Linked DNA regions of Drosophila melanogaster. The protein of the gene in region 2 interacts with the protein of the main gene of each other region in a pairwise test. Each region holds a gene or a part of one and is shown on either strand. Other genes may lie near its edges.

What was found.
Region 1: the proteins of Mst84Dd (region 2) and CG15771 interact in a two-hybrid assay, tested with the Drosophila melanogaster proteins (2 studies listed by BioGRID).

The regions. Positions count from the first base shown.
Region 1 is NC_004354.4:5,747,461-5,765,194, forward strand, and holds CG15771 (uncharacterized protein), read left to right. Parts: upstream 1-8,113; 5' UTR 8,114-8,594; coding exon 8,595-8,744; exon of another isoform or gene 8,745-9,391; intron 9,392-10,401; coding exon 10,402-10,887; intron 10,888-10,944; coding exon 10,945-11,376; 3' UTR 11,377-12,291; downstream 12,292-17,734. Other genes in the region: Rtel1 (regulator of telomere elongation helicase 1), read left to right, coding at 409-1,458, 1,534-2,081, 2,277-2,940, 3,002-3,144, 3,389-3,518, 3,604-3,813, 3,882-4,094; CG15772 (uncharacterized protein), read left to right, coding at 5,409-6,188; lin-52, read right to left, coding at 6,742-6,896, 6,977-7,081, 7,156-7,329, 7,385-7,424; MAPk-Ak2 (MAP kinase activated protein-kinase-2), read right to left, coding at 13,256-13,360, 13,709-14,124, 14,641-15,199; CG42699 (uncharacterized protein), read left to right, coding at 17,455-17,734.
Region 2 is NT_033777.3:7,357,678-7,371,612, reverse strand, and holds Mst84Dd (Male-specific RNA 84Dd), read left to right. Parts: upstream 1-7,839; 5' UTR 7,840-7,922; intron 7,923-7,974; 5' UTR 7,975-7,996; coding exon 7,997-8,215; 3' UTR 8,216-8,306; downstream 8,307-13,935. Other genes in the region: Mst84Da (Male-specific RNA 84Da), read right to left, coding at 5,434-5,586, 5,642-5,680; Mst84Db (Male-specific RNA 84Db), read left to right, coding at 6,108-6,332; Mst84Dc (Male-specific RNA 84Dc), read left to right, coding at 7,084-7,251; CG17944 (uncharacterized protein), read left to right, coding at 9,582-10,184.

The DNA.
Region 1 (17,734 bases), on a different chromosome or scaffold from region 2:
GTTCATTAGTTTGGTATAATCCATAACATTCACTTAAAATGTTATATCGTTAATCTTTGATCCAAATAAACAGAATCACAACTACAGTATTCCCTCCAATGCTAATAAGTTTATAAGTTTCAGTTACTATTATCCATAAGGTACCATAAACACGATTGCAGCACTTTGGGTGGTGATTAGTACTACTATTACGTTTAAAATAAACTACGCAGGGTTTGACATGCAAGTTGTAAACATTTGACTCGGAGTTCAAGATAACGCTATAAAATTACTTAATCAGGGTCCACTGTACTCTATCGATAGCGATAACTGACCACCTACACAGACATTTATTGTTATCGACCAACGAACACATGTTCACTCCGATTTGGCGCGTAAACAAGTAAATAAATAGTATTATTAAGAATAATGCCGGAGAGCCTGATCGCCGGCATTCCGGTGCACTTTCCGTTCGAGCCGTACCCGGTTCAACGGGCGTACATGGAGAAGGTGATCCATTGTCTCCGCGATGGCACGAATGGAGTCCTGGAATCGCCAACCGGCACGGGCAAGACCCTAAGCTTGCTGTGCTCATCCTTGGCCTGGATCCGCACCAGGCAATCGGAGCACCAAAAGCAGATGGTTAAGATGGAGAAGGCAGATTTTTCGGGTCTTGGAGGCGGAGCACCTGGGGGAGACCTGTCCGAGCTGGCCAAGACCATGGGTCGTGCGAATAACTGGGGCGTGCCCAAGGTCATCTACGCCTCGCGCACCCACTCCCAATTGACGCAGGCGATGCGGGAACTCAAGAGGACAGCGTACGCTAACATGAGATCCGTGGTTCTGGGCTCCCGCGATCAGCTATGCATTCATCCGGAGGTCATGCGGGAGCAGGGCAACTCCAACAAGACCAACATGTGCAAGCTACGGGTGCACTCCAAGACCTGTTCATTTCAAATGCGCGTTGAGTCGCGAAAGGATCATCCCGATTTGCGCGGACCCACCATCATGGACATTGAGGACCTGGTCAAGGTGGGCCAGCGACTCAAGATCTGTCCCTACTTCGCGTCTCGGGAGTTGGTTCCCCAGGCGGATATCACCTTCATGCCCTACAATTATCTACTCGATCCCAAGGCTCGCAAGGCCAACAAAATCGAACTGGGCAACACTATTGTGATCCTGGATGAGGCCCACAACATCGAGAAGATCTGCGAGGAGTCCGCTTCGGTGCAGATTAAGTCCTCTGATGTGGCCATGGCCATCGAGGACGTCACGCATATCATGCAAGTCTTTGCGAGCGGCGAGTCGCAGGATATGGCTGGAGATGAGCCAAAGGACTTCACACTGGACGACCTTACACTGCTCAAGGAGATGCTGCTCGAGCTCGAAAAGGCCATCGATGCCATCGTTGTGGACAACGCCGTCGATGGAACTACCTTTCCCGCCTCCATGATGTACGAACTGCTTGGCAAGGCGAATGTAAGATGCACTAAATCTTATCGGAAATGTTTTTAAAAGAATGCCTATTTAAAAATGTAACTTCCTTTATTGTAGTTCACCTACGGCAACGTTGCAACGATAGTATCCCTGCTGGACAAACTGGTGCAATACCTCCTAGTGGCCTCCCAGCAGATGAGCATCCGCAAGGGCGGCACCTTCACGTTGCTTAGCGATCTACTGACCATTGTGTTTGCCAACAAGGAGGATGTGATGAGCAAGGTGTACGCAAGCTTCAAAGTGCATGTCCTGGTGGAGGAGTCCAAGCAGGGACACGGTAAGCAGCAGGGTGCTAAACAGCAGGGCGGTTGGCTTGGCAAGGGAACGATTGCAGCAGCGACTGGCTTAAGCAAGGTCGCAAAAATCATTAACTTCTGGTGCTTCAATCCTGGCTTCGGAATGGAGCAACTGCTCAACACCCAAGTGCGCAGCGTAATCCTGACCAGCGGCACACTAGCTCCCCTCAAGCCGCTAATCGCCGAGCTTGCCATTCCGGTGGCCCAGCATCTGGAGAATCCGCACATCGTCGACCAGTCGCAGGTTTATGTCAAGATCATCGGCACCGGACCCGATCGGCAGCAACTGATATCGAACTATGCGAACCGGTAAGCATTTTTCACACCACAAGCTTATTTGTTTATGGCCAATACCATGAGTAAATAAACAAGTTGGGCCAAACATAACTCAGTTCTGTGGCAGGTGAACTATCTCATAACATTACGAAATGCCAACGTATCAATTTCTTAATGTTATACAAACTAAACAAACATGTTTTATCTGCCACCTTTGTTCTTCTGCAGTGATAATCCAAAGTACATCAGCTCCCTGGGACAGACGATTCTGAATGTAGCGCGTATAGTGCCCGACGGCCTCCTTGTCTTTTTCCCATCGTATCCCATGTTGAACAAGTGCGTGGACGCGTGGCAGGCCAGTGGTTTGTGGGCGGACATATCGTGCAAGAAACCGATTTTTCTGGAGCCGCGCAGCAAGGACCAGTTCACCAGCACGATGGAAGAGTTCTACCAGGCGATACGCGACTCCAAGGGTGCCGTATTCATGGCTGTTTGTCGCGGCAAAGTCTCCGAAGGTCTGGACTTTGCTGATCGCAATGGCCGCGCGGTGATTATTACTGGTCTGCCATTCCCACCGCTAAAGGATCCCAAGGTGATACTGAAACGTCGCTACCTGGAGGCGAATCGGACTCGTGAGAATCAGCTGTTAAGTGGGCAGGAATGGTACAATCTAGATGCCACGAGGGCAGTCAATCAAGCCATCGGTCGTGTGATTCGGCATCGCAACGATTATGGTGCCATTCTGCTTTGCGACTCGCGATTTAAGGACGCCTCACAGGTCCAGCAGCTATCCAAATGGATTCGGGGTCACCTGGGCGACCGGCCACAGTGCTCACCCTTTGGTCCTATCGTCCGGGAACTGCGTCAGTTCTTTAAGAACGCCGAAGCGAATGTAAGCTCATGATGTTTATGCGTTTTTCAGCAATTGTAATACAATTCTTTCAAAACTTCAGATGAAACTACCGGATGAAAGGGAAACCGATTCGCCTTTGGAAACCGTCTGCAAGACAGAGGATGAACCACTAGCCGCCATTCCAAAAGTGAAACGGGAGCCTGGCTCCAATGCCACCTTCAAATCAGCCAATGAATCCGCAATGTACGTAACCTGCGATCTAAGATCAACCTTATCAGCTGTATAGATTGTATTACAATTATTAATAGCAAATCCTTAATCGGATTTAAGTAGTCTTGAGTACAATTTTTGAGATTTGTCATAGCTAAAGTGAAATGCTGTAAGCCATTTCCAGTGGCCTTTTGTCATCACTGCCAGGGTAAATAAACTTTCGTTTGCCTTTCTCCTGGTATTGACACTTTGAAATATTTATTATTTTTCTTTGTAGCAAAGTGGAGATGGCCAATTCCATCAAGACATGGACACCCGCCGATTATGCGAGTGCCGCTGGACATAAATTGGGTGGTGCGGCGCCGAATGCCATGGACTTTATGAGTCGACTGGACTCAAATGTCTCGGTAAACACGAGATTCCCATGAATCTATTATTACACTGTGTTTATTTAGTTCTTTAGGACTTGTTCTTGTTTTGCCCCTTTCCCAGAGTATCGATTTCAACTGCTGCACAGATAGTAAAAGTGGCTCCTCTGGTCTGGTGAAGATTCACAAGCGGGAGCGAAGCTCACCAACGGCGCCGGAATCCTCCAGCCAGGTGACCAAAAAGCGATACAAGTTGGTGGAGAACATCAAGGTGGAGCCAAGTAGTTCGCAGGCTAAGGAGGCACCCGAGGAAAGGGCCGCGTTTCTCCGGGAGGTGAGATACCTTCGAGACTTCTTCCATACTACTACTACTACTACTAATTAATTTACCTTGAATTGCAGCTACGCAGCCTGGTCACCCAAGATCAATTCCGCCGCTTTGGCAAGGCGCTGCTGGAGTACAAGAATGGCACCTATGAGAGCTTTCAGGCCCTGATGGCCATACTCCTGGATGTCCTGTCCGCACCCAAAGTGCGCTACATGCTCGTCGGGATGCGGAAGTATCTAAAGAACGAGCACAAGGACGAGTTTGATCGTAGGGTGGGCAATCTTTAACAAAGGGTTAGGTGACTATGTAAAAGAGTTTTCAAGTTTAGTCGTCCCAAGGATATGTTATTTTTTTTTTTTCAAATTTATTGACATTGGCTGTAATTTTCTGATTGTATTTAGTGGGGCGCGTCTAATTCTCCTAAGAATATATATTATTAACAATGCTATGCATTGTTGTACATGCATTTTGAATTTCTCTGTACGGATGTTTATTACTATTAAAAATTATACGTTAATCATGATATTGTTTATAGCTTTGTGGGAAAATGTGGGGTCATATTAAATGCAAATGCAGTTACTCAAAACCGTTTGCATTATGTGCATTATGTTTTCCCAATCTGTTTATTTATTTACCGCTCAAGGTTGACTTAAATCAACAGTCTACCTTTATTGGAAATTTAATACCACTTTTATGTGCATCAAACTTCGATTTCGTTTGCTGATAAGCTGATGAGCTTTAATAAGCTTTCAATCAAATCAAAGGCGAATAGAACAGGGTGCTCGAAAACTCTTCAAATCTTACATATCGTATTTAAATATGAACTCAATTTGTATAATAATATATATATATGTACAATATATGTTTATTTTATATATTTTTAAGCATGATAAATAGATAAGATATCATAGGAAATTGACTAATGCTAAGACTTTTAAGTTCTTGTCTTAAAAACATAAAATTACTTTTTTGTAGACTGCTTACATATATGTTTTTCACATTTATTTTTTAATCTACCGCTTGGGGGGCATACATTTTAGAGTTGGCAGCCCGCTTGGTAACAAATCTGCGAACCGCAGCCAGCGCAGAACGCATCCAATAAGTTCATTGCCAAACGGGCCGAGTCCCTATATGCACATCCACACATGCCCATCGGCTGGCGCGACCGAGTCACCGAGAAAACTGAGCCCGAGTGCAACGAGAATGCGGGTCCGAGTGGCTCCGACTTCGGACTTGGGAAGGCACTCGCGTGGCAACAATCGTCCAGGGCGCACGGCAAACACGCAGAGCTGCCGGAGGAGATAGGCCGCTGCTTCTTGGGGGCCACATTCGTACCCCGATCCAAATCCAGACCCGCTGATCCATCCGCCTCATAAATACACACATAATTTCTGCCGCTTTGATTGGGGCACGCAGTAAGTTGATTGCAATTGCAATTGCCATAGCCTTTGACTTGCTGCACGTTCGCTCTTCGCTGCTCGCTATTTGCAACAAGTAATAATGAGGGCGGGCAGGGGGTGGCTGGGTGTTTGGCCAACGCAGCGACCTTGGCCTGGTTTAGGCACTTGCCTTAAATGCATTTTGTCGTCATTGCAGCGCACATGGTGGAGGAGATTGGCTGCCAGAGACAGACGGGCATTGTGGTCGCCATGCCCAGCCAGGTGGCATCCAACACCGGAACTCCAGCCCCATCCGCCGGCGGCATTCACCAGCAGCATCAGCAGCAGCAACACCAGCAGCACCAGCAGCAGCAACACCAGCAGCAGCAGCACCAGCAACACCAGCAGCAACAGCAGCAGCAACACCAACATCAGCAGCAGCAACAGCAACACCTTCAGCAGCAGCAACACCACCAGCTGCAGCAGCAACAGCAGCAGCAGCAGCATCAACAACTCGCCAGCAACATGAGCCTGCTGACCGTCAAAGGCGGCCGTTACCTTTGGACCGACCGGGAGCTGTTGATGCACCTCCAGAACTACACTCCCCTGATCCTTCTCATCGATTTCGTGGAGAAGACCCGAACCAAGCGCTTCTATGAGAGCTCCGAGCGCTATGAGATACTCATGCTGGTCTTCATCATGCGCAAGGGAGCGCCGTTTTGTGAGAACAAGCGCTTTCCAGCGGAGTACTGGGTTAATCTATCGGTGGGACCAATTGCCGAGGCGTTTGACCGTCTGCAGGCGGCCATCGATATACCGGATCCCCAGCTGCCGATCCACATGAGCGTTACAGATTTGACCAGCTGGAAGCAAATGTTCGACCTGGCCATGCTGGATATACGGCGTTTTGCGTACTACACCGATCCCTTGCAGCTGGCCGATGCGGGCGTCTTTAACCGGATCACCTTTGAGCAGCGATTCGGAATGCAGTGGCAGGAGTAATGGGAATTGATGCACGTTACTGGATATATATTCACGGGAAACAGCATGTAAGCACACCATCAGCACCAACACACTTTCCCAAATTGGGATGGATCGTGGGGAAGGCTACTGCATAAATCCGAACGAAAGCATTTAGTTAAGTATTAATAGGACGCACTAGAGCGCAACCGATCCATCCAATCCCACATAGACAGAGTTATTTGTTGCGTTAATGTCCCTGCATAGCGAAATCTACTGTGCCTTCTCCAAAAACTCCAGATCCTTCTGCATTCCTTTCCCTCCAATCCGTCAACTTCATCTCTCCTCCGACTCCTCAAATGTATCTGTAATACAAGCGACGTGTAGGACCCAAAATGCTTTAATGGAAATAAACGTTAGTTACTGTTCAAACGCCTGCCTATTTATCTTTGTAAAATAGCGATAAATCATTCACAACACGCATTACTCACTATAAAAATAGCACTATGTACACTATGAAACTACACCTATGTTCCTAATGCGAATTCAACGAGATCCTCGACAGTCCCATTCTTAGGGATCGGATCATCCAGCCTCATGGCTGCCGCTTAGGAGCGCGATCCCGGTCAAAGATGCCCAGCAGTTTCCCACGAGTCATCTCCATTGCCTCACGCAGTCCCAGCTGGTAAATTTCATCATGCATTGACTTTATTTTATCGATCAGATCCTCGGGAGGGAGCTGGGCTAGTTCTGGAATAGAAAAGTAGGTAATGGATATGCTATTCTTTAATATACTATTCTTAAATCTCATTGACTTTGCAGCTACTTACCATTAATCTTAACCATATCATCATCGGTCAGATTGCTGGTGTAGTTGGTGCTGCGCGTGTACATCGGCGTGTCGCTCATGGAGAGGAACTCGTCCATTCCGGGAACTGGAGCAATCGAAAATAAAGATATGCGTTAAAAATGGCGCCAATTTCTTCGTGCTCACGTTTTCTACACTTACAACGCTCTGGCCATTGGACAGGTGAGGGTCGCAGAGTTTCCATGGAGATGAGCTCGTCTTCCGGCGTTATGGGCCGCTCCTTGACCTCCGGGACATCCTTTTCGGCCAATAACGTACTACTGCTGGACGCTGAAGCCTTCTCCACTTCCTCGTCCGCCGCTTTTAGAATGGTTTCTGCAAGAAAACCTCGTTTTATGGCGCCTTTCATGTGATTTAAATATTTACTCACCTGTAGAAAGCAAATCCGTAGTTGTCTCTGCGTTGCTCATCGCGGATAATGTTGAAAAACTCCAAAAACTATTGAAAATAAACACGGAAAGATGCCAAAAAATCCGTGGGCTAATCACTTGCCACCTCGTTAAACAAAAACTATAGCGTTGCCACTTTCAACAATCACTATCGAATACTATCGATTTACCGCCAAGCCAGTGCTAGAAAGCACCAGGAAGTATAAAACAACTGATATTTTTGGTAAACAAAGAACTGTTGTTATTGCTTTTCCTGGTTTTATTAATAGAAGTTAAAAATAAATGGCACAACAATTAGGAAATGAGCGTGCCTCGACTTATACTAAATTCAGAGTGGAGAGCAGGCGTCGTAGCAGAGAAACGCGAACCTCTCCGCGACCTCTATCGTGCTCTCTTTTCCACTCACGGTCGTTTAACGGCGCATAGAGACAACTCTGCGCTAGGTCGCCTGCTCTCGTTCGCTCTGGCGCGCAAACGGCACTTGGCACACTTCGCACAGTGGCGCCAAAAAATATGTGCCCGTAAAAAGCACATGTGCTGCGCAGTAGTTGTCCAGAACAACACAACACGGATGTCTAACCAGTTATTGAAATAAACTTATTCAAGAACATCTTAATAATAATATAAAATCTTAAGGAATAACAATATCTTATCAAGTTTTTATCAATTGGCGCCGCCGCCTGGTAGCACTGTTCGCATACGCAGACTTTTGGCCACCACTGTTTTCCCATGCGCCCTCGCACTTTCTTTCGGTTTTTCATTCGCTGCTCCGCTCTCACTCAGTCAACAAGCACTCATACACACGCGCTCACCTGTTCCGCCGCCCCGCTACCCCGTCTCTCGACATTACTGCGACCGCTCCCGTTCCGTTTCATTATTTTTTTTGTCGCTGTCATTCAGTTGCCGTTTTAACTTCGCCGCGCGAGAAGCGGAAACTTTTGCCAGTCCGCTCGAGGAAAATAGAAAAATACTGCAGTGCTGCTGCAGTCGTGCAGCTCGTACATTTCGTTTCGTTTCGTTTGGCGCCAATTTCAAAGCGCAAATCCGCTGGCGGATTGAATTGCACCAAAGTTGTTCTTGGATCTCTACGTTTGCATCCATCCATCTAACCAAGCAACCGGCTACCACCCCTCCACTCCTGACAGTGACCCCTCGCTGACCCTCCATCCCCCCCTCCGCTCGACGACTCTCATGGCAGCTAGCAAATTCCATTGCGGCAAGCAATTGACAGCCACACATTCACATTTCGATGCGACATGTGCGAAAATCAGGGCCTTTTACTTTGACCTGGACAACACGTTGATTCCCACCAGAGCCGGCGATTCCAAGGCGATCAGAAAGGTGAGCTTTGTTAACCAAGCCAAGGCAGACAGCCTCACTGCCCCCTCTGCCAATCACCAATCCGTTGGCGTTTCTTCCGTTTCTTTTCCATGTAGTGTTTGTGGGGGGGCGGGGCGGGGGAGGTGAAAGTGCGCAGCAGGCGGGCGACCCAGCTAGAAAATTTTCCACTGCAGCCCGCCCGTTGTTACGTAGTCGAAAAAACCCGGACGCTCGGCAGATAGCACGCGCCCGAAATTTCGATTGTTTATTTGCGTTCCGATTGATTTCCTTTCCCTTCCCTTCACATCCCCCAGCCACAAAAAAAAAAAAAACAAAAAAGAAAAACTCAGAGTGCACTCGACAAGGTCTTAACTTAAATATAACCACGGGTACATGCACTTTAGAAGGCTAAAACCCACTAAATAATCGGCATTACGTTGGAAATTCGGAATCTTCGGTTTTCGAAATGTTAAAAGGCACTTTACAGGATCTTATCGTGGTGCGCATTATCGATTGCAAACGATTGCAAAAAGGTCGGAAATCGAGGAACTTGCACTTAACAAAAGTTGAACGAAACGTCATACCAACAAACTTTGGAAACCCGCGTCAATGGTTTCTTTTGAAATATAACCTTCTTATAAAGTGAATGGCACACAAAGAAGCTAAAGGTTAATTGATGATAATAGGTAGCACTTCGCAATATGTACTTGTTTGAACGTTCAGAGGCCATTGACTTTATTTATTACAATAAATGAGTCTATTTGCGATCTTAAAAGGTTAAAGTTTTTAGAATTTTCCCTTCAAGAGAGAAAGGTATAAATAGGTATTCTTGAAAATGTGTTCAATGTCACGTACATTTACTCACTCTTGCATTCCAGATTATATCGTTATCTTTTAAGCTGCGCCAATTTAGATAGTTAACTTCATTATCACGTTCATGTTTCAATACGCTCAATGTTTGAAGACCCCAAATAAGACGGTTTCTTTATTCAGTTGCTTTCAATTCTTAGCGAGCGAAGCCACGCCCATTTATATTTCGGAACTCATGACAGTTTTTGTGACTAATCGCAATGATTTCAACTTAAATTCCTAGCATTCAAAATGACTTTTGTGAGCTTAGCTTCCTGATTTGAGTACGATTCAATAGATGCGGATGGTTGGGCCGGAAAATAGATAGCGAGTGGAAATTTCCAAGCTATCATTGCGATCATAAAATATAGTATATTCTCATATATTACTCATGCTGCAAGTGTACCGGCGGCAATTGCAGTTTGATGTTCAATCCCCTGATAGTACGGCGATGCTATAACAATTTTGGAATTAATCAATTGGCTTCGGATTCGATCGAATGATTGGATTGGTCAATCTGACGCTTAATTGAGAACTTTATGGACGTAATAGTTTTGATTTACGTTCTACCGCGTTTCGCAAAAGATTATGCACGTATTGAGGCTTCTAATCGCTTTTATTAATATTAACTCTACTTTCAGGTTGTTCACTTCTTATTGCGTGAAAGTTCTTAACTTATCTCGTCTTTAATTCGTCATAGCGTATTTATAGTTTTATCGCGGTTGAGGTTTTTACGGCACTATCACATCTACGCAATTTTGTATATTTTTGAATTTATGTAACGCAATAATAATGCGAATTGCCAACCCTTTTCCAATTTCGTTCTTAGCTCGCTGATTTTCTGGAGACCCAATACCAGTTCAGCAAAGATGACGCAACACAGGCCACCCAAAACTTTCTAAAGGCCTTCCGCCGCTGTCCCGATAACTCGCAAACATCGCTGGACTCGTGGCGCACTCACCTGTGGCGCGAATCCCTTCCAGCGCGCCACAAGCACCTGGCGGAACAGATCTATCCCAAGTGGCTGAAGTTGCGGTATCGCTACCTAGCCGTTCCGGCGGACTATGTCCAGCTGCTGCTGCGGATGCGCCAGGCAGGCTATGCCCTGGCCCTCATCACCAACGGACCGTCGAACGCTCAGTGGGAGAAGGTGGCTGAGCTGAATGTGCGCGGCTACTTTGACTGCGTGCTGGTCTCATCGGATCTGCCATGGGAGAAACCGCATCCGGAGATCTTCTATGCCGCCTGCAACTTTCTCAATGTCAAGCCGCAGGAGTGCGTCATGATCGGCGACAAACTGGAGACCGACATCAAGGTGAGTTGTGGCTACTCATAAATGTGCTCACTAGCAACTGATCTATTTCGCTTTTAGGGCGGTCACTTGGCCCAGCTGGGTCTCACATTCTGGACGCCACTAAGCAATAGCAGCGCGGCGGCACAATCGCTAGAGGATGTGGAGTACAAGCCGCACGTCAAGCTGGGCAGCCTGCTGGAGATGTACAAGTACTTTCCGCGCCTCAACTCAGTCGCTCTGCCCGAGATGCCGTCGGTTTCCAGAAGACGTGGCAGCCACATGAGTCCCATTAGCCAGGGCTCCGGCAGCGGAAGCAGCTCCAGCGCCATTTGTGTGCCGGGTGCTGGCCATGGATACCATCACCACCACCACCAGCAGCACCAGGAGCAGCAGCAGCAGCATCATCATCATCATCATCAGAGGCAGTGGCTTTATCGACGAGGCGTTTCACTGCCCGCCATGGATTGCTCCAATAGCGAGGCGGAGAACAGCTGCGACAGTTTTCTGTAGGCAGTGCGGAGGATGTGTTGAGTATCGAATGAATCGATACGAATGACGAGAGATTGTTGAAAAATGTACCTTCAGTTTACAAAACTATAGCTAAAGAGGATTGAGGATTGATGATCGTAGAACGGGAGTAATATTCACGGATGGATCACGAAGAAGGACAGCCAGGAGAATTGGAAACGAGTGCAGGAATTTAAAGTTCAACTATTAGCGGGAGGAGCCCGGAAGCACGGTGAATCTCGCTATCTGCCATTAAACTAAAATTAAGGCTAGCAAACAGCATCGGAGCACACAAACTACTACGGCCAACAAGTACATGGAACAAAAGAAAACAAATATGAAATCAGAGGACAGGAAGCAAAGCAAAGCAAAGCAACCAAATGTATTTTTCTAAGCGAATTTTCTGTCACATATTTTGTAAATTGATATAACACGCAACTGAAAGTACGTCAAGGTAAACGTAAAACGCGAACAATAAAACAATGAAAAAAGAAGCCCGTAAAAACGATACAGTAAAGCAGATCGAAACCACAACACGAACCTCTTACAGAACCTCTGATAAAAAAAAAAAAAAACAACACCACACACAAGAAATACAAAAGAAACGACACGAATAACCGAATCACAAGTACAAGTACGTGAATGTTAACTATTGTCTTAGTCGTAGCCTTTAGTCCGGGTATTGTAATCGCGGCCTCTCGCAGCTGTTGGCCCATCACACTGTTGGCAAATTGTTATTTGCAACCTGCACGAAAAACAACCTCCTCCTACCCATTTCCCCACCCGACCCCACGCCACGCCCCATTCCCGCCCACAAGCACCCTATGCGAAAAGCATCGTTGATGATTATTGATGGCTCACATGCCGGAGCACTGTTGTTGATCATGGAAATGGAAAATAAATGACACTACAAAACCGAAATCCAGCTGACTTTTTGTTTCCATACCAGATGGTGGTGGTGGTAGTGGGTCAAGCTCAGAGTTTTTCCAGAAGATGCAACCACCACTTGTTGTTTTCTCCCTCTAAACCGTGCTTTTATCCCACTTGGCGTTGAAATGAAAGCAATTTTGTTTTATGTTTTAATCATAGTAAAATAAGCTTGATTTGTTTTTATTAATTTGGGGGATGATCTTGTTGTTTATGGACTACAAATATGCTATACGGTAAAATGGTATATCGCTTGCAGAATCAGCAAATAAAAGTTATAAACAACACTGAATCTTGCGCAGATTAATGCTAACGTGAACTGGCTGTATAATTGTTTCTCCACACATATGCCATACATACACAGACGGTTATACATATACATATATATATATAATTATAATCAAAGTCACGTACACGTAAAAAACGGTTCGGTTACAAATGACACGTTTTTGGAAAATAATATTTAAAAAAAAAAAGGGAATCGAAAAACGAAACACTTTCACGCGATACCGAGACATTTTGAATATTCGGCTGGGCTGGCTGGCTAGCTAGGCTTGCACTTGGCTTTACTTAAGTTCGTTATTTGCGCATTACGCTTTATAGTTTCTTTTACAAAAGAGCACTTTTCAGACTACAAAATACCCTAAGAACCCTTGACTGGAAATGGATAGATAGATAATGGGACAAAATGAATAAGAAAACGTAACGTAACAATAACATGGAGTAGTTGTTTTGCAAAGGTTGCTGTCATCGTAGTATATTAGTTAATAGCAGATCTTGCCGCCGTCGTAGTATAGTAGTATTTATCGTTTTTGTAAAGCATTGTACAACATTGTTATCCGCTTAAGTGTTAAACCGATGGTTCGCCCATCCTACATCCTACGCCCATCTCTCCTCATCTCATCTCATCTCACTCCCGGGTTGGCCGTGTTAGTCGCTCTGGATTCCTCGTTGTCTAGTTGCGCGTCGCATTGGCCATGTATAACTCCATCTCCTCGATCTTTTTCCTGCGCTTCGTCAGCAGCGGGTTGTTCGACTTGTCCAGCGCCTTGATTTGCATCTGCAGAAAAGAAAATTCCAATTAGGAAAAGACCTTCTTTCAAGTTTTGAACTAATCAAAGCATTTCAGGCGCATTAACCTCCTGTTAGTTCTTATAATTAGTGACTTTCCAGTTCACGACTAGAACAAAAAGAGGGCTAGGAAGTAGGCGACTTGCTAATTGCTTAAGCATACTGAAATTGAAATTTATTTTTCCATTGTATAAACAAATTGACCGAAAAGATACTATGTACAGTATGTGGTGAGAAGCAAATGAGTAATGGTTATATAATAGAAGTGAAAACTTTGGACTCGCATTGAGATTTATCTTTTTGTTGCAATGCCAAGTTGCCACTGCGGGTGACTCACCTGATCGTAGTCTACGCGCATGGTGGCCAGTGAGCGCGTCATCTCCTCCTGCACTTCCGGCCAGGTTTCCTCGGCCTCCTTTAGCATGCGACCCGTGCAGAGCGGTGTCTGTGGAACAGCATTGTACTGGGCAATCCACTTGTTGCTAATGACGTCCTGGATGCGCAGACGCTTGCTGGGGTCCACGTTCAGCATGCCCTTGATCAGATCCTTTGCCGCCTGGCTCACATTCGTCCACTCCGGATCGGGAAAGTCATACTGGCCGGTGCGGATGCGATTTTTCATGCCGGGCGATATGGCTAGGCCGTGGTTGCTGTAGAACGGCGGGAATCCGCACATAATGATGTACATCACCACGCCCAGCGACCAGATGTCGCAGCTCTTGTCGTACTTCTCCGGGCCCAGAACCTCAGGAGCTGCAAAAGAAAAAACATGTCATTAAAATGGGAACTATCCAGAAGAATATCTTATAATATATTCAAAATGGAAAATGTACTAACTTTAAGGAATAAGTACACTGTATTTACCCAATGAGAACTGAATTCTAATTGTTAAAACCTTATTATGAATCCCCCGATATGTTCGCAACCTTTCTTTCCGTTCGATTGCAAATCGAGTCGATTGCACTTTGCAAACTCTCGAACAACTCTTTCGCAACGAGATTGAGAACAAGGCTGAATTGAATTACAGAAGTTATAGAGAAAGTTCGCTTAGTAGATTATGTAAGCGGGGCGGTACAAGCATAAAAAGTAATTTTACTATCAGCAAATGCCTGTCATGCGGCTTCCGGGCTAAAACAAAAACTCCTGACACAATTCCGTGTGGGTAAACAGACGATTTTAACAATTATAGAGCAATTTTTCGTGCCCAATGTGACAATTGACCTCAACTAGAAACTAGATGATGATTATCCCTACAAAAGGCACACTCACCCACGTAATAGGGAGTGTAGCAGGGCGTCTGCAGCGTGTAACTGGTGAATGTCTCCTTGGCGAAGCCAAAGTCCGTCAATTTAAGGGTCGCATTCGGCTGAGTGGTGGTGTACAGCAAGTTCTCCGGCTTGAGATCGCGATGCGCTATGTCGCGACTGTGCAGATAGTCTACGGCCGCGCAGATCTCGTGCATTATCTGGGCCGCCTCCCGCTCCGTAAAGGCACCGTCGGCCTTGTCCTGAATTCTCTGGAAGAGCTCGCCGCCCTCCATGCACTCCATGACCACCAGGAGGCACTTCCTGTCCTTAAACGTGTTCTCGTACACATCAATGATGTTCACAATGTACCGGCATCCGCTGACCCGCCAATGCAGGTCCACTTCGCGACGCGCCCTTTCACTGTCCAACAGCACCTTGAGGGCATAGTTCTGTTGGGTGCGGCGATGGGTGCACTGCACCACCTTCCCGTTGATCCCGTAGCCCAGAACCGTGTTCGAGGTCACGTAGTCGTCCGTCAGTGGGGTGGTCTTCGGTTGCCGTTGATTCTGCAGAGAAAGCATTCTGGAATCGGCTGATCTTTAACTGAAAAAAAGATAAATGGTCAATGGAGTTCGGTGATGAGTGGTCTTAATTTTATAAGTAATCTAGTCAGCTTTAAAGCCTTGACTTGATACCAAACTAACTTCGTTTTTGTGCAATTAAACAAAGCTTTAAATTGATTTCATTATTGCAAGACGCTTCTTTTCATTGTTATCGTGAATGGAAAGCCAATTTTGGTTAACGATTTATGGGCAACTTATTTGCTTAACGATTTCGGCGTCATTGAGGGTCGGGCCAAAAAAAAAAGTAGTCGCTTGAGGAACAATAAATTTTATTTAATTATTATCTTTCGCAAAACTATTGTCGTCGTAAATGTAAGGTTCAGTTAATCTGGGTGTATAGCAGTTGGGCTTTTTAATTACTGGCAATTAGTCTGCCGTGGGAATTGATAGGGGATTCCTGCACAACGTTTCCACTGCTCTTTTGGAAAGTGAATCCCTGGATAGCAATAATAAAAGTGCATCGAGAAAAATGTGTTATTTTCTTTGTTTTCGTATAATTAACCTTTTGGATCTAGAAATATAGTCAAGATCTTCAAGAAGGGTACATTGCTTTCATGGCGTGTACGAAACGAGAATAGGAATTGCTACATACATTCAGTTCTCCAGCCTTATAGATATACAGAATATGGAGATCCGAGAACCTCGAAGAGCTGCGATCTCGGCTCGATTCAAATTGCATGCAAATGAACTTACAGAGAGGCAGAAAAAAAATATCAAAAAGAAATCTGGGGGCGGAGGAAGTTGGGTGGGGTGGCTGGTTAGGTCCACAGTCGCTGCATATTTTCGTGTTTTCTTTCTTTTTCTGTGTTTTCCTGGAAAAACGGTATACAATGTTTTTCTTTCTGTTTTTTATAACGGGGGAAAACAGGAAAACGGTAGTAATTGCATATGTTGGACGCGTTATCGGTAATCGCTAATATCGATACACGGCTGTATGCTGAGTGCATTTGTGTGCGTGCTGCCGCACTGCTGATGAAATACATGGTGCATTTGGTTTTTGTTAATTTCGTGCACATTACGCAGTGGCGGAGAATAGAACTATTATTTTCTCAGTCTTCTTTAAAATTGGTTAATTAACGAGTATTTTACTGCCCACACACACACCGCACGCACACCGAAAAGGCCGCGCACACACACACACACTATCGAACGGCCATACAAATGCAAACAATGCGTCATGTTCTCCCACTGTTTAACTAGTAATTCCTAGAGTTCTCGTTTTCACTGTACACGCCAGTACATTTTTTTTATCTTGTTATCGCCTTTCGATCGTTTTCAGGTGGTCCAGTTTTTTTTTTTGGCCACGCGCAGCGATTTTATCTTATCCGCTTTTCATTCTCGCCCGGATATATATTCCGCATTATTACCTGCTCTTCAGCTGATCGTATTTACCTTTCGGATATTTACTTTAGCGTGCTATGTAACGGAACGAAAAAAAAGAACAACACGACCAGGGAATTTATTTGTAAATGCTTCGCGGTGTGACCAGGCGACACTGAATGGAAAAAGCTGTAAATACAGTGCAATGTACCAGTACAGGTATGCTAGTTAATCGATTTGCGGGTTATCGGCTTGTTCGAAAGCTAAAAATCGATTAAATTGATCGAATACAGGATAACGGTACGTTTTTGTATTAGATCTAACTGAAACTACGTTTTCCAATTAGATTTCGTATTAATTGATTCTTGTTAAAAAATAAAAAAATGAAGTTTTACTTGCGGAACAGTTATGTCTGAAATGCTTACGTTAAAATCGGTCACTGAATGACGTTACTTAATGTAACATAAACAAAACATAAAATAAAATTGTTTGACTATCGAATATTTTGTCGAGCTGCTTATCGCCGTTCGCCCATCACTACTACCGACTGTCTACAAAGTGGAGTGGGGTGTGGGTACTGCAAAAAGTGGTTAAAATGTTGTTGCCACGGCCAAACTGACGATGCGCCGCGTCCGCTGAGCCTCGTGTCCGCATCCGTGAGATCCGTGATCCCCAGGTCCGAGCTCTGGGCACCCGGAAATTCCCCAACGAGCACATAGTCCGGCTGTTTTCTGTTCGTTTTCAATTGGTTTGCATTGATAGACCAGGCAAACCAAACAAACAAACAAACACACTGAAGCATCGGGATTCTATATATATAAATAGAATAGAAACAGAAAAGTAGATAGACATCCTCACTGGCCCCATTTGATTGCGGATCACATCAGCGCGCCATGTCGCAGGTGCTTAGCCCCCACAAACAGGGCGTGTCGGAGGCGGATGCGTTGGACTACACGAACAGCAGCTCGATCATCGAGTTCCTGGCCAAAGAGCAGGACTGCGGCGGAATACTGAACGATCCGGACCCGGAGTCCATATTCCAGGAGGTGAGTCGCCTGTCCGACAGCACAGATATGCGATCCGTGGATGAATTGCTGCAGGAAGCGGAGCGCCTGATCCAACAGCAGTTGCGTCTCGGCGGTATTGTTCCAAAACTGGACGCTTCCGGGCCCC
Region 2 (13,935 bases):
TTGCGTTGTGCAGGAAGGGTCTGATTGGCCTTCTCCAAGCGTAAGAAATAGGAAACGGAAAATGCTCGTTATAGCCATCCTATTACGTGTAGGCTTTCTTGTAGCCTGAGATATATACACAAATGTCACACCGATAAATACAGTTCTAAAGTGAAGACATGCTTTTAATATGTAAAAGTTCATATTTGAGTTCTCATTCTCTAGTTTCTGCTTTGTCAAGCAAAGCGATTATACGATTTATTCTAGGCAAGGATGATCTCATCATGTTGTTTATCATTATCAATACTCAAGCAGAGTGTCAACCAAAATTCCTACATCCAGACGGACTGCTCGTTTTCAGGGGATAATATGCCTCTTAATACGTTATAGTACATTCTTAACCATTTTTAAAACCAACATATAGGCAATACGTATTCTGTTAATGCAAAATATCTGGCACTTATCCGTAGAGCGATTTAAAGGCATTAACGCAAAATATCCAAGGTAGCATAAATTATTAAATTTATAAATGCAATTCGAATCATTTTATGTAATTAGTTGCAAAGGCTATGGAGCCATTGTTCATAATGTGTTGTCATATCAAGAGTGACGGGTTCAAATACCTCATCCCAATTATTTAATTGTACGTCATTTTTCTCACTCTTTTTTCTCCGATTTTTCATGGTATGCTGAAAAATCTACTGCGACAATTTCAAGCTCATTAAAAATTTTCAACTGAAATATTCCGCCGGAAGCCGAGTCTCTGTGTGTATTCACCCTTAACGGAGCACGTCTGCCATTTGTGCTTACTTGTTGGTACACAGTGCTCCTGGTAAGTACGACTACATTCGGGTCTAAAAAAAGGTATCCTTGACGAACCACGCTCGTTTGAAAGGTTGAGTTTTTACTTCATTTAGGATTGACAGCAATAAATACTTTTAGCAGCCACTGTTGGCAACCACATGGTATGCCATGTTTCGTATTTTAGTTTTCCTCATTTCCTGAATTAAACTACACACGGATATATTTAATTAGATGACATACCTGTATTATTATTTATTTTTTTTTAGACCTCGTTAACTTAAGCCCCCAGCCCACAATATCTGTTCCCTTTGCAATATGATTTATGTTCAAGTCACATTCTTGCAGGTGAAAATTAAGCTGTAACATTTATATGCGGTGTGCTTAATAATATTCGCGACAGGTCGTCGGGACATTGACTGAAGCCAGGTGGAGAACGAAATATACAAGAAGAAAGGAATTTCGAGACCGCGTTTCTGAAGGAATAAAAAATTGTTTAATAAATAAATAAACCAGATTTTCTTTAAAAGGTGGCACCGTCTATTCACCACTAATTCCCAGACTTATATCCACCGTACTAGTGTGACTACTATTTCTCGTCCTCGTGCCACATCATTAGCGCTTTTATTGCCATACTGTGTGCCTGTGTGTTTCCTATATTGTCGGATCGAACGATATATCAATGACACACACAAGAGTTCCGTAAAAATATATATATGTATGGTCCATCTCTGGAGAGTTAACAGTTAAATTTTCTACGAACAAGTTTCTTTGGACTATTGCCTTATCGGATTGTATTCACTTTTTGTCACATAATACTCACAATCGGTAGCAATCTTAGTTGGTTGACTTTTTGACTGCGCTTTATTTCACTCCTTTGTTAACATGAATCGATTTTTATTGGAGATGCTGAAGGATTCGCTCCATTTACCTCCAATGCCTTCACATCCACCACTAAAACACTCCGGAAAATGCCGTCGTTTTCATTTGGCAGGCAACTTAATTCATTTGATGCATTATTTAAATTGCAGTACCCGCACAAATCACACAAAGCTCTCAACACATTTTATTCGTTGGTGTAAGTCAAAAACCTCTAAGCGATTGGATTCAAGGTTACGTATAATGGTTTATTTCAAAACGATTTTAGGGTATAAATAAATGTTAAAGCTTTAAAGTTTTAAAAAATAAATATACAGGACTTTAAGACGTTGGACGTCTTGCACACAATATATGGAATGCAAACTTTTAAAATATTTTATAATTTCAAGCAGTATTTGAATTGTTATTTAATAACTCTTAACTTGAGTGTAGTGAAATTGCTTTTATTTTATTTTACATATTCAAAATGTTAATCGCAGTGTTGGGACCCATAAAAATGTCAGTTAAATACAATAATTCAATGCAAGTTCTTGTTTATATAAATCCAACTTTCTTTGCGTTCGCATCGGTCGCGAAATGGAACTACACACCAAAATATTTATTTTAATTATAATAAATCCAAATATTTTCATATGTGAATCAAAGCAAATGAAGCTTTTGCTAACAATTCCAGACGACTATTGTGAAACATATTGTGGTGGCATCTGTAATGATACAGTCGCTTCAAAGACTTGCGACAGAGAAGCTTATGATTATATTGCCACCAATGAATACCATTTAATTATGAGAGACGGACATTTAGAGGTTAACTGGAAAATTCCCGATCCAAACATTTTCATCATAAGTCCGATCAGCAAAGAAAACCGTTTGAAATTGAATGAGCTAATTGTATCCGATACAAGTTACCCAATACGTGCAGTGGATTATCTTCGGCAACTTGGTGTGGAGACAGTAACACGTTTCGAAAATCAAATAAATTCATTTAAAGTAATTGAAAGAGATGTCCATTATATCAATGGACCTAAGTCTCTTAAAATAATTATTCAAAGTAACCTTTACCTCAATGAAATAATCGAATATATAAATAAGACAACGGATAATGTGAATGAAATTATTATCAACGCATATAAAACGGTTGAAAACCAGCAAATTGCGCTAGACAACCTTATTTTTAATGGGAAGTCGCATTTAAGATCACTTACATTTATTGGATTTCAAATTGAAAACTTATCCACGAAACCATTTGCTCAGTTTATTAATCTCAAAAGGATGGTTCTTACCAATTGCACGGTTCGGAATTTGACATTTTTAAGGTTTGTAAAATTGATTAAAATTATAGCTTCCTATACATTGCTCTCTCATTAAGTTGTTTGCAATTCAGTATAAATAATTAATTTTCTATTACTAACTCTATTTAGAACTCTTCAAAAGAGCCTTGAACATTTGGAGCTGGATATCGACAACGAGGTGGATTTAAAATACTTTACAAACTTTTCCAGTCTCAAATTTATGAAGGTTAGGAACTACATTCCCAACAAGAACTTCACAGCTTTAATATGCACACACAAAAATTGTAATTTTATCCGTGGAATCAATGGGTTAGAATGCCCTAAACTTTGCCAATGTCTCTATATAATTGATGACTTGGAATTAAACATAGACTGCAGCAATCTGGGTCTTTTGCAAATTCCGCCCCTACCAATTCCAAGTTATGGCGGTGTGAAGTTGAATTTTTCCAATAATTCTCTCTCTCAGTTGCCAACTATGACTTTACCTGGATATAAATTGGTTAAAAGACTTGATGTTTCGCGGAATAGGTTAACCAACTTAAGTATCAATCACCTTCCAGCGAAACTGGACTATCTTGATGTAAGCTTCAACGAAATAATTAATATGGGAAACGATGTAATCAAATACTTAAGAACTGTCCCCATCTTTAAGCAAACAGGCAATCAATGGACTATTCATTGTGATGACAAGCCGTTATTAAATTTCTTTAGACATCTCAAATTGATAATACGGATGAAAAGTGCTGAAATGAAACCTATGTTCTTGCACTCGTTAACCGAATTACCTAAGGGGTTTTTGAAGTTTTTGGGAAAGCACTTCATTTGGCTAGGTGTGAGAAAACAAGAATACTATTTGATCAATGAGGAACAGTTGTTGCAAAGTATGCATCGCAAACTAAACAACCTTAATACAATTATGAGCATCTATAAGTATATGGAATGGCTTCACCGAAAACTAATATTCGTCAATCGGGAGTATGATCTATTTTATATTCGTCAAATGGCAGCCCCCTGTCCTCATAAGTGCGAGTGTTGTTATAGCCGCGATTCACTTATTTTAAAAATAGACTGCAGGAATAAATTTGTATATAACTTTCCCGATATCGTTGCTAGAAATAGTCGTCTTATGTGAAAACAAAATATGTCTAGTCCTATGGAACTGCATTTATCTAAAAATAATATATCAAACATAACCATCGCAATGCTACCAAAGGAACTAAGGTTTCTTGATCTACGTTTCAATAATCTCGTTACCCTGGATGACAAAGTCCTGAGTTACCTTAAGAAAAATTCAATTAAAACTAAACTTTCTGGGAATCCCTGGAATTGCGACTGTAAGTCGAGATCAGTCCTTTCCATTTTGAGAGATCACGAACCCCTTGAGTATGACGTCACGTTGAAACGTTGCAATATATCTCCAACGGATTGTCCAGATGTTTGTGTCTGCTGCTTGGATAACTTGACATGGCCATCATTTATTGTCGATTGCAGAGGAGAAGGACTTCTACAGATGCCTTCACTTTCAAGCAGGGTTACCTATGTGGACCTAAGGAATAACAACCTTACGGCCCTGTCACAGAAGAATCGTTCTTCTATCGAGAACAGATCGTTAAAGCTGCATTTGCTTGACAATCCCTGGTCTTGTTCTTGCAACGATATAGAAAAGATAAATTTCATGAAGAGTGTGTCTTCAAGTATAGTAGACTTCACTGAGATAAAGTGCAGTAATGGTGAGAAGCTAGTCTCGATTAATCAGCATATTGTGTGTCCATCTGACCTCTTTTATTATTTGGCACTCGCGATCTCCCTAGTGGCCACGATCATTGCCTTAAACTTTTTGATATGGTTCAGACAACCGGTCCTGGTCTGGTTCTATGAGCACGGTGTGTGTCTCAGTCTGTCAGCCAAGCGGGAACTTGATAAGGACAAAAGGTTCGATGCCTTTCTGGCGTTTACCCATAAGGACGAGGCTCTGCTGGAGGAGTTCGTGGATAGGCTGGAACGTGGTAGGCCCAGGTTCCAACTCTGCTTCTACCTGCGAGACTGGCTGGCGGGCGAATCTATTCCCGATTGCATTGGTCAATCTATAAAGGACTCGCGGCGCATTATTGTCCTCATGACAGAGAACTTTATGAATTCCACTTGGGGTCGCCTCGAGTTCCGACTGGCCCTCCACGCCACCTCACGCGATCGGTGCAAGCGTCTGATAGTGGTGCTCTATCCAAACGTGAAGAACTTCGACAGTCTGGATAGCGAGCTAAGGACCTACATGGCATTTAACACCTATCTGGAGAGAAGCCATCCGAACTTTTGGAACAAGCTGATTTACTCGATGCCGCTACTACCAAGCTACGTTGACTAGGACATTACATTATTAATTTCAATAAGAAACAAAAATATATAATTTGTTGTCTCCCACACAGTTTATTTTTTGAGATTTACATAGTTCCCGGAAGTATTCCGACAGGTTTCCGGGTCAACTGGTTTAGCAGCAAGGACCGCAACCGCAAAAACTGCTGGTGCCGCCGCAGCAAGGTCCACATCCTCCGCAAGGACCACAGCAGGGGCCACACCCACCACAGCAGGGGCCACATCCACCACAGGGTCCGCATCCGCCGCAGGGGCCACAGCAGGGGCCCTGATAAATCATATTAAAAGTATTCACTCGACTTACGAGACCGATAAATACATACCCCAACCAAAACGTAATTCGGGTTGACGTACATGTACATGATTTTGTTTCTTAAAAGATATTTCCCAACCGGAATCGAAAGGAACCGAAAATTTAGGTGTTAACTATTGAAGGTGGAACGGAGAACTGACTGAATGTGATCCAAATTAGCCGAAGCTTCATTTGACAGCAGTCATGAGAATTTCAAGGCTAATATGATCCGACAAATTATATTCATTATTATTATTATATTCTGGTATCCCAAAACCCATAATCTAGTTAGCTATGGATATTTTCGACAGTTGTCAAATTCATATACCAACTTGTGAGTCAGGTTTCCATCATTCTTATTTTGGTTCTCGGCCTGTAATCATCGAAATATTTTTTCGTCCTAAGTTATTTCTTTGTTAGGTTCAAAGTGAGTATTTCTCAAAGTGTAAGCATGCGAAGTTTTAACAAAATTTTTCTTAGAACTTTACGGAACCATCATGTGTTGCGGACCCCTTGGATTCTGCGGACCCTGTAGCCCGTGCGGCGGTCCTTGCGGACCTTGCGGACCCTGTGGTCCTTGCGGTTCCTGCTGTAGTCCTTGTGGATCTTGCTGTGCGCCTTGCGGCCCTTGCGGTCCTTGCGGTCCTTGCTGCGGGGGCTGTGGTCCATGCGGGCCTTGTGGACCTTGCTGTGGACCTTGTAGGCCATATTGCGGGTGCTGAACAACAACCACAACATGTAAAATATCTTTTTCCTGTGAACCACAAAGTGGAACTTAGGACTGAATGCGGATAAACTCTTCTTAGCTCGCGGGCCTAGTCAATAAAATAAGAATTTCAAAATACCTTTTCCGATGGTTTTTCTCTTCTAAATGGTGCAACCTTTGTCTTAGCTATGGATACCAAATGCGTGACAATAATAATTTATGTAATATAATTGCGAAAATTAAAATTGTCAATTCTTGGTGGATTGCGATCGTTAGAGGGGGCGGAGGAACATCCTACGTTCATATCGACTAGGCTTGTGATCCAGCTCAAGAATAAATAACCTTTTCTTCTATTCACTATAGCATAGCTATTACTCTACGAGTGGCGGGTATAAAACCTGCAACCGTGAATTTAAACCTCATTCAATAATAGTATTTGTCTGCAAACGGACAAATGTCCGATAACAATAATTCTATAACAATAATAACTATTTTTAACCATCAACCGCTGTACATAAACATAATTCGAATTCATAGTAGGCTATGGAAATCGTTCTTGACCTGTCAGACCCACCTAACCTTGTAAGTTCGGAAAATATATCATTCTCATCTCGACCCTTGTGCTGCTCGCATCAAAATTTTGTTGTTTTGTCCCAAATACTTGTTTTTTTTTTTTGGCTTCTAAAGACCGTTGGTAAAAATGTTTATTGTAAAGTTAAAATAGTATACATATTTATTTCGTTTATTTTAGACTTCTCGAATTAATCATGTGCTGTGGACCTTGTGGATCGTGCTGCGGATATTACTGCTGTGGTCCCTGCTGTGGACCTTGTGGACCCCGATGTGGGCCGTGCGGATCCTGCTGTGGACCCTGTGGACCCTGTGGACCTTGTTGCGGACCATTTGGCAGTTGTTGCGGTGGCTGTTGGTGCTAAATGCTCGCAATTGGCAGCCGAATCGATTTGTGAAACCATACCACAATCCCACCATGGTTAAACTAACACCTGAAAGTTAAAAGCCACAAATATATATATATGTATCTTAATGCAGATCCATGTTATCATTGGGATAGTTCACCATTGCTCTTACTCGGCGTTACTCGTTGACATAATAGGAATGCGTTTCGTAATATGTATGTGGGTGTAGGTTTCTTGATCAGGAACACTAGCCGGATACTAAGCGAGCAGATTGTATTGCGCTGCGAGCACAAGTTGCTATATGGAAATGGTTGAGACGTTCTTGGTAATACCATTTTATTTTACACGAATGACGTCTCAAGGTGATTGATTCTGCCTTCCGACGAGCTTCACTAGGACGTTCTTTGTTGTTCCCATCTGGATCAGTTGTACTGCTTGCTACGGCAGGACATTTTCTTAAGCACGTTATTGTAAAATTCACTAAAGAACAAAATTAAATTCCTTTTAGGGCATTGATATAAAATTTTTATTAATTTTGCATTTGTTTATTTTAAATCTAGAAGGCTTTGAATCTATATTCTACTTTCCTGTGCAAGTTCTATGTAAGCAAACATCAGTTTTCATCTTTCCCTTAACCCAAGAACATCAAAATTTGAGCTCTTTTCCAAGCTTTTTAGGTTCAGCACTTTGTACGTAGTTTTTTATTTAAGAAAATTGTTGGTATAATAGCTTTTCTTTTAGTTCTCAGAAATTAAAAAAAAACATGGGCTGTGCACCGGGCGGACCTTGCTGCGGACCCTGTGGACCGTGTTGCGGACCCTGTTGTGGACCCTGTTGTGGACCCTGTTGTGGACCCTGTTGTGGACCTTGCGGGCCCTGCTGTGGCCCCTGTGGACCTCGTTGTGGCCCTTGCGGACCCTGTGGACCGTGCTGTGGCACTATGGAAAAACGAAATGGCCTTCAGCGGTGCTGTCCTTTTTAGCTGTGATTTCCCGAATAAGCAACCAAACTGTGTCCAAAAAAAGATTTCATTAGTCTATTGTGACAAATAAAGGGGAACTATGAAAACTATCAAATTAATGGATCTTAGCAGGGAGCCAATGTAATCATTGCAATTTCATTCATTCACACTCCGTACAAGAACTATAAAGATTACTGCTTTTCCTCTGCTACCTTTGCTTCACAAGCCGATGACGAATGACAAGCCAATCCAAAAAGGCAGTAGCTGAAGAGAGAAGCAATCTCCATAGGACAATCACCATAGGACAATAGACCAGGCTAACACTGAAGCCTGCGGCAATACATTCACACACGTAATAGTTGCATTGGGCTTAAAAGGAGCAGTTGGTTTATGCCAACATGCTCAGGTAATTGGGACGATGCAGTTGGAAAATAAAAAGTAATCCTGCCCTTGCAGCAATTAAATTAGCCAAATAGGGGATGTTAATTAGTGTCAAGTACCTTGAAGTAAATGGTGCCAAAAGAGGCGTGGCCGAGGCCAATCAAAATGATTTCCAAGCAATGTTACTCATACGCCCCATGTAGCTGGTCCCAGTCAATTATTAATGGCTGCTCGGCGCGAGTGCAGACTGCTGACATCTCAATTCAGGCGAATTGTTTATAGTATGCAAGCAATAGGATGCCAGAGGAATATCTGGGGAACTGATTTTCATCATTCATTTCGCCAGTCGACTTTTCCACTTTCCACGCTGAATAATGAAGGCAGCCATTTTAAGTGTGCGCCTGCGAGGCACTGGCTCTCCCGATGACGCAGTTAAGGGAATTCTCGGATATGTAAGCTTCTAGCATTTAGGCCTCATACAAATGTATAGCGCATCCTGTTATATGAGTAGCAGACGAGCAGGATAATCAAGTTCCGGAAGGGGTCGAATTAGAGCTGCCTGCCAGAATCGCAGTCGAAACGCTTAATCAGTGCTATATGCAAGTGTAATCCTAGAACTCGCATATGCCGCAGCCGACTATTGCTGTACTCAGGGAATTCGGGGTCAATCCCTGCAGAAATGTTCGTACCAATTCAGAATATATGTAGAAGTTAAAAATCTGCGGTTTTGATACTTTAATACTTTCTCAATATACTAGAGCACTATATAAGTCCTAACTCCTCATACAGATATATATATTTTGGATCATGTGAAAAGTTTGTAAAGTTTAAATATAAAGTTGAGAAATATTTTGTAAATGCCTTGAAATAACACTTTGAAATATATTTTCTAATCTCAGTTAGCCAGTTTAGTGGACAGTTGAATTGTCCCACCCAAAATTTTTTGTTTCCATCAGCTGTGTAAGGCCCGGTCATCGGACTTCGATCACCAGAAATTTCCGCGGCTATGAGCGAAGAAATCAGAACAAATCCTCCGAGAATGTGGAGCAGGTCTAGTCCGTCCCGCGTCGTAGAAGCCGCGATGATTGGGGATGGTCCGCATGTGTTACTACCACGTCAAAACAACCCAAATCAGCCAATTTCGACGGCAGCAAATCAACGTCCCCGAACATCAACGTCCCGACGATTGAAGTTTCTGAGAAAAATGGCGTTCAGCAACAAAATAAGGAGCTTTGGAGGACCTGCATCCAGGTTTGGTTCCCTTTCGCACTCGGATTTCGGAATGAGACGAGAACTGCGAGGCGATTTCCATTGGCCGATGATAGAGAGCTGGCTTGAGTTTCCCACCTATAATAATGAGGTAGACGAGGATAGTGGTGAGCTCCACGAAAGTAGATTGTTCACAGATCGACGCCACTGGGGACGGGCTCAACTGTACTTCCAGCAGTATCTAGGGATCCAGCACCGCCATCACCACGATCCGAGATCATTCTCCCTGAAACTCGGTCTAAGCCCCGCACACATAAAGTCCATTTACGACGCGCTGTATGGCATGGGTCTCAAAGAGACCTTGAGGCTGGCCTTCAACGAGTTGCTACACTTGCACTAGCTTTGGGGACTTTTTTGTTCCAACTATCGGTAATAAAATTTAAGGCTAACTTTTTATTCTTAATGTGGCAACTTGCTCCTGAATTGTTCCCACTGGAAAACCCTTTAAAAAATAGCACTCAGCCGCCGGCAAGTTTTTTAGCCAAGATATTTGGCCAAGAAAATCGCGATGTTGTGCATTTATGGAAATCGTATGCCGCTGTGTGTTCGCCAGTACAATGCGAGTGTTTGCAGGGCTTGAGGTAACTTTGCGACAAAAACTAAACGAAACGAGTGGAATTTTAAATACCCTTATTTACATCCCATATGACTTAGCACTTTCTTTCACAATATGCCCTTGTTTTGAATTTCTCTGGGGAAATGATGTATAATATCCCCGTCTGACTGGGCTGGTATCCACATATGCCGCAACTCTTGCACAGCGCTCCCGAAATAACAAGCAATGAACAGCGCGCCCAGCACGCATGTATGTGAATCCCGCACTTATACACGCACACTCTCCACCTTCACACACTCGCACCCACAAACACATGCACAAAAGACGCTCTGCGTTCATTTTGCGCCTTATCTGCGGTCGCAAGTGTTGCGCCATCGCAGCCCGAGTGCCTGAAATTATGCTAATTCCTTCGTTTTTATGCAGCCAACATGGAGCAGCAGCGGGAATCTGCATTCTCATGGCCGAATCTCCTCCAGCTCCTCCAGCTGCTGCGTGTTGGTTGTTGGTTGTCGGTCGCCGGTTGTTGCTTGTTGGCTCTTGCTGCTCCGGCTGCGCATTTTGCGGTCGAGGCACTGGCAAAACGGACACCGAATTCTAGGTAATATCACCCGCATATCGATACGATACTAGGATTAATTATGAATGAAGTAGTTTTAACCTTAAAAACACCTTTTCATTATTCTTGAAATATAATATATTTCACTAATTAAAGTGGCCTAATTTGTATGTAAAACTCTTCCTGTACGGTATGCAAGTTTTTTTTTACAGTGCATGGGTAGTACGATGAATTTTACGGCATAGAAGGGACGGCCTGCTGATAACGCAACATTAATAACACCCTCATGGCTGGCTTTCTCTACTTGATGATTGAAAATCCTGAAAACTGCGCCCGCGCCGCAAAGTATGCAGCATTCATTTACTTATCAGCCGTGGCGAGGGAGTTGGCTCCTGCGGAGTCCACGCTCTGTCCCGTATTTGTGGCACATTTGGGAGCTAAGCAGACAAAAAGTTCCCGAAAACAGAGTCAAGCAGCTGCTGCCTCTTCGCCAGTGCCATTGCTACAGCCATTGGTAACGCCATTGGTCTTGTTGTGGCCAGTGTTAACATAAAACTTGTGCAGCGATAAACTCTTGGCCCGCCCAGCACATTGTCCATTCGAACATTTGTTAGCCTGCCTCTCCGCTCTGGGCCAGCTTCTGGCCGTTTTTGAATCCTGCTGCATATTCAACGGCTCTTAGCTCGCCCAGCATTTGGAAATTCCTCTTAACAAGGTTCTCCAGCGGCTACTAACGGAATGCCCCATTTTTTTTACAGATTTAATTGACCCTGTAATCGAGGTATCTTTCTGTCGATACACTAGCTATTTTCTTCGATTATTCCGTGAGTGCTGTACTTGAAATAAACATACATCTCGGTGATGCTTACCGGAGGCAAACATCTCTTCGTTTTTCTAAACAATTGTTTGATGTTCAACCTGCCCGTTTAAGGCATCGAATTTGCTAACTTCATAAATGTAGCAATTCATTCGGTTTTTTACTTTCGCTTCTGTTGCTCAAAATTATATTTCCACTGAATAAAATTCTTTTCGGAACTCTTAACAACGTTTCAACACTCTTATCGAGGACCACCGGGTGATGGGTTAATGAATTCCAACCGTAATTACCCATCCAAGGGGAGTGATTACCCCAAAGAGGCCCGACTCAGCCGATTCGTTATGAGCGCCGACCAAGGGATCCTTTTAATTATTGTTCACAACTGGCGGATGCAACTTTATCTTGTTTATATTATGCATGTTTTTTTCGCCTTCGCTCGACCATTTAAATATTTCAGCTGCGGTAAAGTTTCGATTGTGTTTGCAGTTTTTTCGCTGAATATTTACCCAATTTATTTTGCCCCGGCTATTGGTCTTTGTTTTCAATTCCCGTGCTGTATTTCGATTGCATATTTAATTGAATGAGCTCTTCCTGCCCGTTATACCCAATTAGCTGAAGTGTAAAGAATTGTTTTTAAGCATCTCTAAGGCTGGTAGATGGGCCATCGATCCAGTAAGGAAAACATTAAGATAGATTATGTTAAGATAGCTTACAACAAAATTTCAAGACAAACAGTTAATCAGTTAAATATATTTCTATATTGAAATGAAATGTTATGTAAGCTACTAGCTAGAAGTGGAACTTGTAATTTTTCGGACCTCATGCCTAAAGTTGATAACCTTTGCGGGGGCAGACGAGTTTCCAATCCCCACCCCTATTTGAATGCGTCAACGTCTGTGTCTGCTCCGCTTGTCAAGCATTTTACGCATGAGAAAGTATTTTCAGTGAACAAGTGCGAGGGTTGAGCCGAGCTCTGCAAAAAAGTATCCCCAATGCAGAAATGCACAAGGAAGCCCCATAAAAATAAATCGAATTGAGGCGACGGGAGCTGGGACTGGAAGGGAGCGGGATTGGGATCGGGATCGGGACTGTCGGGATAACAAACGATGCTCCATGCCAACAGAGTGGGCGGAGTACGGCGGGAAACGCAAGTTGGGTTTGTTTATGGCGCGATACGAATGACACGTGACTGGGAGACACCAGACAAGCACCGGCACCGGCGGCACCAGACGCTCGCAAAAATTATGAAATTTAGCGCAAGCCGCAGAGCTCGAGTTGCAGAAAAAATACATGCACATGGGTCTCGCGCACACAGGGACAGATCCAGTTCTATGACAGCTTTACCGTATCACACCTGCCGCACTCACACACCCGCAAGGGGGAAGGTAAGGCACAAACTGACGGCCAATGCGCTTAGCACTTTCATTTCGTTTGCTGCAAATTGCTTAACCACAATGCATATGTATGCAAAGCGGTGACACGTACCATGCACTGAGCGATAAAGCAGACTGTTTCAAGGAAAGAAAAGGAAGCCTTCAAACGAGGAACCAACAACTTAAATAAGACATAATTCGATTTAATTACCAATATGACACAATATGAATCAACACATGAATCATTCTATACATTCGTTATATTTACTACAGTTTCTCTCACCAGGCATTTTGAAAAAGAACTACATGATTTTCTAAAATTTCTTTCTGCGCAGAGGCGGATGACGGTATTAGCAGAGCGGTTTTTTCTTCAGGCAACTGTTGCAAGGTGTCGCCAGCAGCTGCTGGGCTCAATCTAGCTGCTAACGGCTTAACGCTTTGCTGCCTTTTTTCCAAGGTTTTCCGGCGGTACATACACACACACATACTCGTATGTAGTTGTAAGCTTATGGCACTCATTGTCAGTTACTAGGCGGACAGACAGGCGAGAATCATGTGCAATAATAGCCAGGATAACAAAGATGGTGTTTTTCCCGTTCAAGTAAAGTAAGTTGGAATTAATTAGTTAAAGCTTCATTTAAATTGTTTTCGATCTTCAAAGAGGCAGAAAGTTTTTTGTGTGTCCGTTCTATTGTACATTTTGATTAATTCCCACTTCCATGTATTTTCACATCGGCTGTATCTATTTTAAGAGCTTGATGTAAATTGTTTCCCTTACCACCTCGCCAC